Linked DNA regions of Rattus norvegicus. The main gene of each other region encodes a partner of the protein of the gene in region 2 in a complex. Links are inferred from orthologs where the notes say so. Each region holds a gene or a part of one and is shown on either strand. Other genes may lie near its edges. The genes, in order: Ube2b and Rad18.

The links.
Region 1: the proteins of Rad18 (region 2) and Ube2b are in contact, whole or in part, in a crystal structure (PDB 2YBF), measured with the Homo sapiens proteins. The link is inferred for Rattus norvegicus from reciprocal best matches to the Homo sapiens genes RAD18 and UBE2B. Residues at the interface, in NP_064550.3 of Homo sapiens: Tyr342, Arg343, Lys344, Lys345, His346, Lys347, Glu349, Phe350, Leu353, Val354, Gln356, Ala357, Arg358, Lys359, Gly360, Tyr361; in NP_003328.1 of Homo sapiens: Pro20, Val22, Gly23, Val24, Ser25, Gly26, Ala27, Ser29, Glu30, Gln35, Asn37, Ala38, Val39, Phe41, Gly42, Pro43, Glu44, Glu49, Asp50, Lys54, Leu55, Val56, Leu73, Ser74, Asp151, Ser152.

What each region holds. Positions count from the first base shown.
Region 1 is NC_086028.1:36,748,683-36,751,538, forward strand, and holds the end of Ube2b (ubiquitin-conjugating enzyme E2 B), read right to left. Parts: intron 2,348-2,856; coding exon 2,219-2,347; 3' UTR 683-2,218; downstream 1-682. UniProt on the Homo sapiens protein: E2 ubiquitin-conjugating enzyme that accepts ubiquitin from the ubiquitin-activating enzyme E1 and transfers it to a E3 ubiquitin-protein ligase. In vitro catalyzes 'Lys-11'-, as well as 'Lys-48'- and 'Lys-63'-linked polyubiquitination.
Region 2 is NC_086022.1:147,374,070-147,378,575, forward strand, and holds the start of Rad18 (E3 ubiquitin-protein ligase RAD18), read right to left. Parts: upstream 2,801-4,506; 5' UTR 2,751-2,800; coding exon 2,700-2,750; intron 1-2,699. UniProt on the Homo sapiens protein: E3 ubiquitin-protein ligase involved in postreplication repair of UV-damaged DNA. Postreplication repair functions in gap-filling of a daughter strand on replication of damaged DNA.

The DNA.
Region 1 (2,856 bases), on a different chromosome or scaffold from region 2:
TACTCCAAAAGCCAGCTCATTTCCAAGCTGGCTGACCCAAGACCCCTCATCTCTCTGTACCTAGCTCCCTGATCTCTAATAGAACGGTGCCATGTGGGCTGCTCTCTGCCAGGCTGACCAAGAAAATGCATCTCAAGCACATACATCTAAATCCCGCGCATTTATCTCGACCTCGATGCCTTGCTTAGTTCTAGCTTCTCACTGTACAAATGTATCCAGAACAAAAAACGGATACTTCTGCATGGTAAAAATTTAGATCTGGTCCGCTACCGAACACAAAACAGGAGTGACTAATAGAATGTTTCTAAGGGCTTTCTCCAAGTCAGATGGGCCAGAGAGGTAGCAAAACTTAACAGCCGGTCCACCATCTGACAACTCTTTTAGCTGTTTATCAAGTACGTACTTGAAATGTTTGTTGTCAAATGGATGAGGAAAATAGCTAAGAATGAATATGGTGCTGACACACCCAGGATGTTGTTTAGTGAAATAGCTGAGCCCCTCTCCCAGGTACCGCTTATTTACTGTCCAAGTCCCCGGAAGGAAGCTGTGGAGCTAAATAAATGGCAGAAGCATCACATGTCTCACCATGTCCCCCAAGTGGCCTAGAACTCACTATGTGTACCAGGCTTAGAACCACGATCCCCACAACTTCCCAAGGATATAAGCAGGTTAGGTGCCACCATTCTAAGCTTAATAAATTAATACTTTTATTTTAATTATGTAGTGTCTGTTTATGTGAATGCCAGTGTCTGATTTAGTGAGAAGCTTTGGATCCCCGGGGAGCTGGAGTTATGAGCAACTGTGAACTGTCTGAAGTGGGAACTGGGAACGGAGATTGGGGTCTTGCAGAAACAGCACATACCAGTAACTCATGAACCCCTTGGGATAACAACTCCTAAAGGAAAGTATCAGTTCTTATCCATCCCAGGTTTAAACTTTGCTTGTAAACAGAAGACATGGTCACTCTGCAACCCAATGTTCCAGCGGAGAGGCCACCAGAGCATGTCTCTAGGAGGGTGGTATGGATGACAAGAAACTCGGGCTCACTGCAATAGCTGTTTCAACTACTACAGAGACTACACAAGAGGTTCAACAGAATTTACTTGTATATTTTCCATTTTCTATACTACTTGAAGGCATAGGATAGCTTCGTCTTAGCTTTCTACAATACTGTGTTTTAAGTCTACCCAGTAAACTAAGAGGCAGTACAACTTGAATACAACTGAGGAGGTGAGAAGCAACTCGGCAGGCCCTGGTGCTCAACAGTTCCGGAATAAACAGGTAGCGCGCAGCCGCATTAAAAGGTAGTTTGCAAATATTCAAGTTACACCGAGATTCCTTCCAAACCTCTGCCTTGCTCAAACCAGCGCACCTGGCCACTGCTAACACCGCGGCACGGCATTTGGTGAATGGTGATGGTTTTACTTTCTTCTTAATCAAAAGCCTGTGGAGGTGCTGCCACGCAGCAGAGTAAGTCAGCTCTGCTCGAGGACGAGGTGCCAATTGTGAAGTCACAAAAGGTACAGTTTACATGAGAAACGCACATTAACAAGTGGCCCAAATACAGAGCTGGACAGAACCAGACCAGTAAGTCTATAGTTACTCAACTGAACTAACATAAGTACATTCAAAATAAAGCCGGAGATCAGAATAGGTTTTAGAATCAAATTTGCAGACTTTCTTGATAAAACAGAAGAGTGACCTTCTGCAGTTGGAAATGAGGCTCTCACCTGGCGAAGAGCAGAGACTTGGCAGTCCCTCCTGCACAGGTAAGGAAATAAGTGACAAAGTCTCTTGCACTGAAGTTATGTATTTTAACAGCTTTACATGTAATATTCATATATAAAAAACTTTAAGTGCTTTTCTCCAATTTAAAAATCTAAAGAATTCAAAAATAAGGCATTCAATATTTGAAAAAAGTACAGATTTACAAAATGTGTATATTCTGTCATGAAAACTCCACACCAACATTATACACTTGGAAAAAAATACAAACAGGATATATTACAAATTTATGCAGCAATAACTTAGTTCACACCATGCAATAAAAAGTACATTAATCAAGATACACAAGCTTTTGTAGGTTCTAAACTGAAGGACTTTTTCTTTTTTCTCTGCAGAATCCTTAAAACCCGTGGCACTTAAAACTTGCTAGCCTTCCTACTGGGAGGTAAATTATACACAACGACGATGGAAAGGTGGACAGACCAGGTGTCTATTATGAGTCATTCCAGCTCTGCTCAACAATGGCCGAAACCCTCTTCTCATACTCCCGTTTGTTTTCCTGATAAAGCTGTGCTGCTTGGCTATTGGCCGGACTGTTTGGATTCGGCTCATCCAACAGAGACTAGAAGACAGAGAGAAGAAAATGCTGCTCAGTTATATGCTATATTAACAGGACTCAGATGAGGACAAAAAAATTACACAGAACAGAATCGCAAAACCTTCTGAAGTGGCATGAAGCAGGTTCCTGTGGCTAAAGGGCATAAGCTTCCAAAACAATTCCGAGTTCCCTTAAGACTTCCCATTTCAAGGAAATCAGCTGACAACACTCATCAGCATATAACAACTTCCTTGCCACGGAATGAGCAGCTAACTCTCGTTAAACTTTAACACCTGTTAAACACCTTAGTCATTTCATTTCATTTATTTTTTAGTGCTAGTATCCCGCCATCTCTCAGTTTTCTAAGACACGTTTTTTTCTGTGCAGCCCTGGCTGCCCTCAAACAGAGATCCGTCTGCCTCTGCTTTCCTATAGCTAGGATTAAAGGTGTGTGCCAGCACTGCCCACCTCCCAGACCCACGTTTTTTGTGGCTGAGGTGTGGGGCATGCTGGGTAAGTACTCCACTACTAAC
Region 2 (4,506 bases):
TGTTTAATTTGTTTAAGAGAAGTACTGACAGTAATTACAGTGGGCTGCTTGATTCCCACGAAATGAAGTATGGGAGGCTAAGGACAGAATCCCGGTCTGGCATGGAAGGACGTGGCCCTGGCTAGCATCCTGAGACACAGGCTTCCCAGCATTGGGGAGGCAGAGGCAGGAGGATCCAAATTCAAGACCAACCTGATCTACATAGTTTCTGGGCAGCCAGAGCTACAGAGTGAAGACTCTGCTCAAAAAGCAAAATAAAACCAAAAACCACCACCACCAAAGTAGAATATATTCTCTATCACATATAAAGAAACTTCTGAAAGGACACAACAAAGCAATCGGTCACAGTCACTAAGGTGAGGGAGCTGGGCAATGAGACAGGACAGGAAGGAGATCTTTTTCACTCTATGTACTTCCTGAACTATATGAATCTATTACTTAAAAACTGCAGAGGCAGGAGATGGTTCAGCACTTAAGAGGACCTGCACTGGATTCCCGGCGCCCATCCATGGCTCACGAGCATCCATGACTTCAGTTCCAGGGGAGGTAACGCTCTCCTGTCTCCATGGGCACCAGGCACGAATGCAGTGCATGTACATACAAGTAGGTAAAGCACTTAAGGCACAAAATAAAAGATCATTCTTTAGAATAAATAACGTAAATGAAAGCAAATAAAACTATGGGAGTTCATACTTTTAATCTTAGCACTTCAGAGGCAGGAGCAGGAGGATTCAAAGTTAGAAGCCAGCTTGGGCTAGGCAGTAAGCAAGCTCCAAGCCTAACTGTACCACATATGGAGCCTGTCATAAAACCAAACACAAACAAAAAAGTTGTCATTAACAATCCATATGAAACATTGCATAGCTATAAATCCTGCTTGGGCTGGGCAGTGGTGGCCCATGCCTTTAATCCCAGCACTTGGAATGCAGAGGCAGTGAGTTCTGTGAGTTCTAGGCCAACCTGGTCTACTGAGTTAGTTCTGGGACAGACAGGGCTACAACAAATAAACCCTGTCTCAAAAAAACAACACACACAAAAACAAACAAATAAAACAAGTAATCAATTGAGGAAGGGAAATGTTGAGGTTGTAACAAATGCATTGTGTTTTTTTAAATCTTTTTTTAATTGGTTTTTATTTATTTACATTTCAAATGTTACCCCCCCCTTCCTGGTTTCCCCTCCACAAACCCCCTTCTCTCCCCTGTCCCCCTGCCTCTATGAGAATGCTCCCCGACTGGCCTACCCAGTTATCCCCCTTTCCAGTTTCCCTTCCACAACCCCCTATCCTCTCCTCCCTTCCCCCTGCATCTACAAGGGTGCTCTCCCACCCGCTCACCCACTCCTGCCTCAGCTCCTGCCTTAGCCAGTGTCCTAGCATTCCCCAACCCTGACAGGACCAACCGGCTCTCCTCCCAGTGATACCAGAAAAGGCAATCCTCTTCTACCTATCCAGCTGGAGCCATCGGTCTCCCCAAGATGCATTGTTTTTTAAGAACAGTAAGAAAAAAGACTGCACTCAGAGGCAGAACTAGTTCTGGGACACCAGGGCTATCCAAAGAAACCCCGTCTCAAAAAAAAAAAAAAAAAGCAAAAACAAAAACAAAAACAAAAAAACAAAAAAAAAAACCCAATATCAAAAGCAAAAAAAAAAAAAAAAAAAAAACTGTCATAGGGAAATGTTTACGTTGTAGTAGATACAATGTACCGATTACATGTAGAAGAAAAGTAATGGTAAAGCGTGCACTCAGCGGACAGAGGCACGAGGGCTACTCAATCATTCTTGGTAGAAAGACAAACAAAAACAAAAAACAAAAAAAATCCACGGGATGGGCAGAGGTGATACACATCTTTAATCCCAGAACTCCGGAGGCAGAGGAAGGCAAGCTATCTCGGAGAGTTCAAGACCAGCCTGTTCTACAGAACAAGGCTACACAAAGAAACCCCGCCTCAGAACAAACAAACAAACCCACTAACTGTTATTTAAGTGAGATAATTCAGTATGCAATAATTCCTTAAAACGAAAGGCTAAGCGGTGGGTCTAGGTCCTGGCCTCGGTTTTAAAAAGATGTGAGCCAGGGAGGAGCGCTCAGGTTGCTGGAGCTGGTGGATCTTGAGGTCAGCCTGGTCGACATACCGAACTCCAGGCCACCCAAGGGCTACGGGGTAAAACCTTGTCTCCTACATTAATAAAATAAATAAACATTAAATAGAGAGGGATGCGTCATCATTGAGTCATGCAGGGCACAACAGGCAGGGAAACCGGTTGCAGTGTGTGAAGAACAAGGAGCACTTCTGGACCTCATCCAGAAATGGAAAACCATGGTAAGCAGACCGCCTATTATGCTACTTGATTATAAAAAGTCATCCGATGCAACGTCCACCCAAATCACGAGTGGTGTCACTGTTAACACAGGAGTTCTCGTAGGATGAACTGTCACCATCGTTGACACTGCGTTACAGTGACTTTATCCCGGCGACGCGCTGATTGTGACAGAAACCCAAAACATCCGGTTCGTTAGGGCGGCCACCTTGGGCTCACTGCGCAGGACCGCGGCGCGTTCCCGAACCGTCTCGGGGGTTGGAAACTGAGGCCCGGCGTCGCGAGGCCAGTCAGGATAGGGCCGAGGCGGGGGCGCGCGGACCGGGGCGCTCCGCTCGCACCGACGATGTCCGCACCCCGGCCTTCCCCAGACACTCACCTTCATCATCGCCAACCCCGGAGGCCACCGTGGCTCGGCCAGGTCCTCCATGGTCGCACTTGACGAGACCACCAGCTACCGGCCTGCCACGCAGTTCCTCTACTCGAAATTCCCCGCGCTACAGCGTACGTCAGATACGTGCGGCGCGCTCACAGAGAGCGCACAGAATGCTGGGAGCTGTAGTTCTCGTGCGTTGGGCGTCAACAGCTTTGGAAGACTGAGGAGGAAAAAGAATTCCAAGGCATAGCCTGGAGCAATGCAGGCCTTCAACCCCTTGGACCTCAGGAGAAAGAAGATAATTGAAATATTAAGGGCAGCTTTAGTCTGTCTTGTAAAGTGAGTAAACAAAAGATTCCCGAAGTTGATTGAATATTAGGAAAAAGTCAGAAACCAAATAAAGTCTAAGTTTTGATAGAGAGTTCAAGGTCTAGGCTCACATCTCCCTTCAGGTAGTATTCTCTATAGAGATCTGTCCTGCTCCTTGCAAATATATAAAATTACACTTCTGTCTCAACTCCTCTTTCTGTAAGCATTCACCAGAGCCACATAGAGCCTCTGTTCTTCAGCGATAACCACGGTTAAAAATGGCACTTAGTTCTCAGATATTCCCCACGTATAAGGTCCAGTGTTAGCAAAGAGTATTATTAAATCAGTTTAACAGGAACCCACATTCTTTTTCTATCAAATTACTCCAACTAATTGATAAGCTCCTCATCCTCTTCTAGCTTCCAGGTGATGTCTTAGCACCCTGACCTGTCTCCCGCAAGGTTCTTTTTAGGCTGATTTAACCAGAGCCCCATTATCTAGATGTGGGGCAGCATTCATCCTCTGCCTTCTGTGGGCCTCCATTGCACTAAGTCCCAGGGACCACAAGTTGGTCCAGATGCCACCCAAGACAGAACCCTCTAGCTTGCTGTATCATTGATACCCAGGTGGCCCACACATTCACTGGTTCAGCATGTATGTTTTGAAGACTTACAATGGACCAGGCAGATGAGCTCCCCTGAGAAGTAGGCAGAGAGGTGTGGTTGTTACCAATACTTTAGAGACGTGAAGCCTGAGACCCAACAGGTTAGGGCTTCATTCTTTTGAGTTTTTATCATAAAATGACCTCTGTAATCTGGGCCAATTAATTTTCCCTAGCCTACACTCACCTATGAACTGTGCAACAACGACATGAATAACATTTACGTGATAGTTTACTTATTACAGTAATAGCTAACACATATTAGAGACCACCTGTATTCAAAGCACTACTGTAGCTTTTTTTTTTTTTTTTTACATCTGTGTACTTACTTGGTCTATTCCTGTTCAAGGAAAAGAAAAATGGGTAATTGGTGAAGGGCATTTTGCAGGTAAGTAGAACTTAGGGTGTTGGGCTTCTGAGCATATAAGCTACCACAGAATAGTCTCATAAGAATCTGGTCAAGACAAATCTTTCCAGGTACAGATACAGGAACTGGGTGTCCTAACAGGAAAAAGATTCAGACATTCAGACACTGAATCTAGCAAGCCAGCAACCAGAAGACAAGTGGGAGGATTAGATGTATGATGGATCTGGACCATCCAATCAAATGAAATTGAGTTGGGAGCTGTTGGATAGTTCTAGGAACATTAAGGGGAGTGAGTTGCTGTGCGAAGTTATGGCAATGATAAAAATCACGTACGCTGTAGTTATTCGTTTAGGACCCTTTTTGGATACTGGGTAATTAGATTAACAAGTGGCTGGGTCAAAGGGAAATGTATGAGAAAAGAGGGAAGAACTGGGAAGGGAGGAGGACAGCGAGAAGGAGGGAGGGAGGAGAGA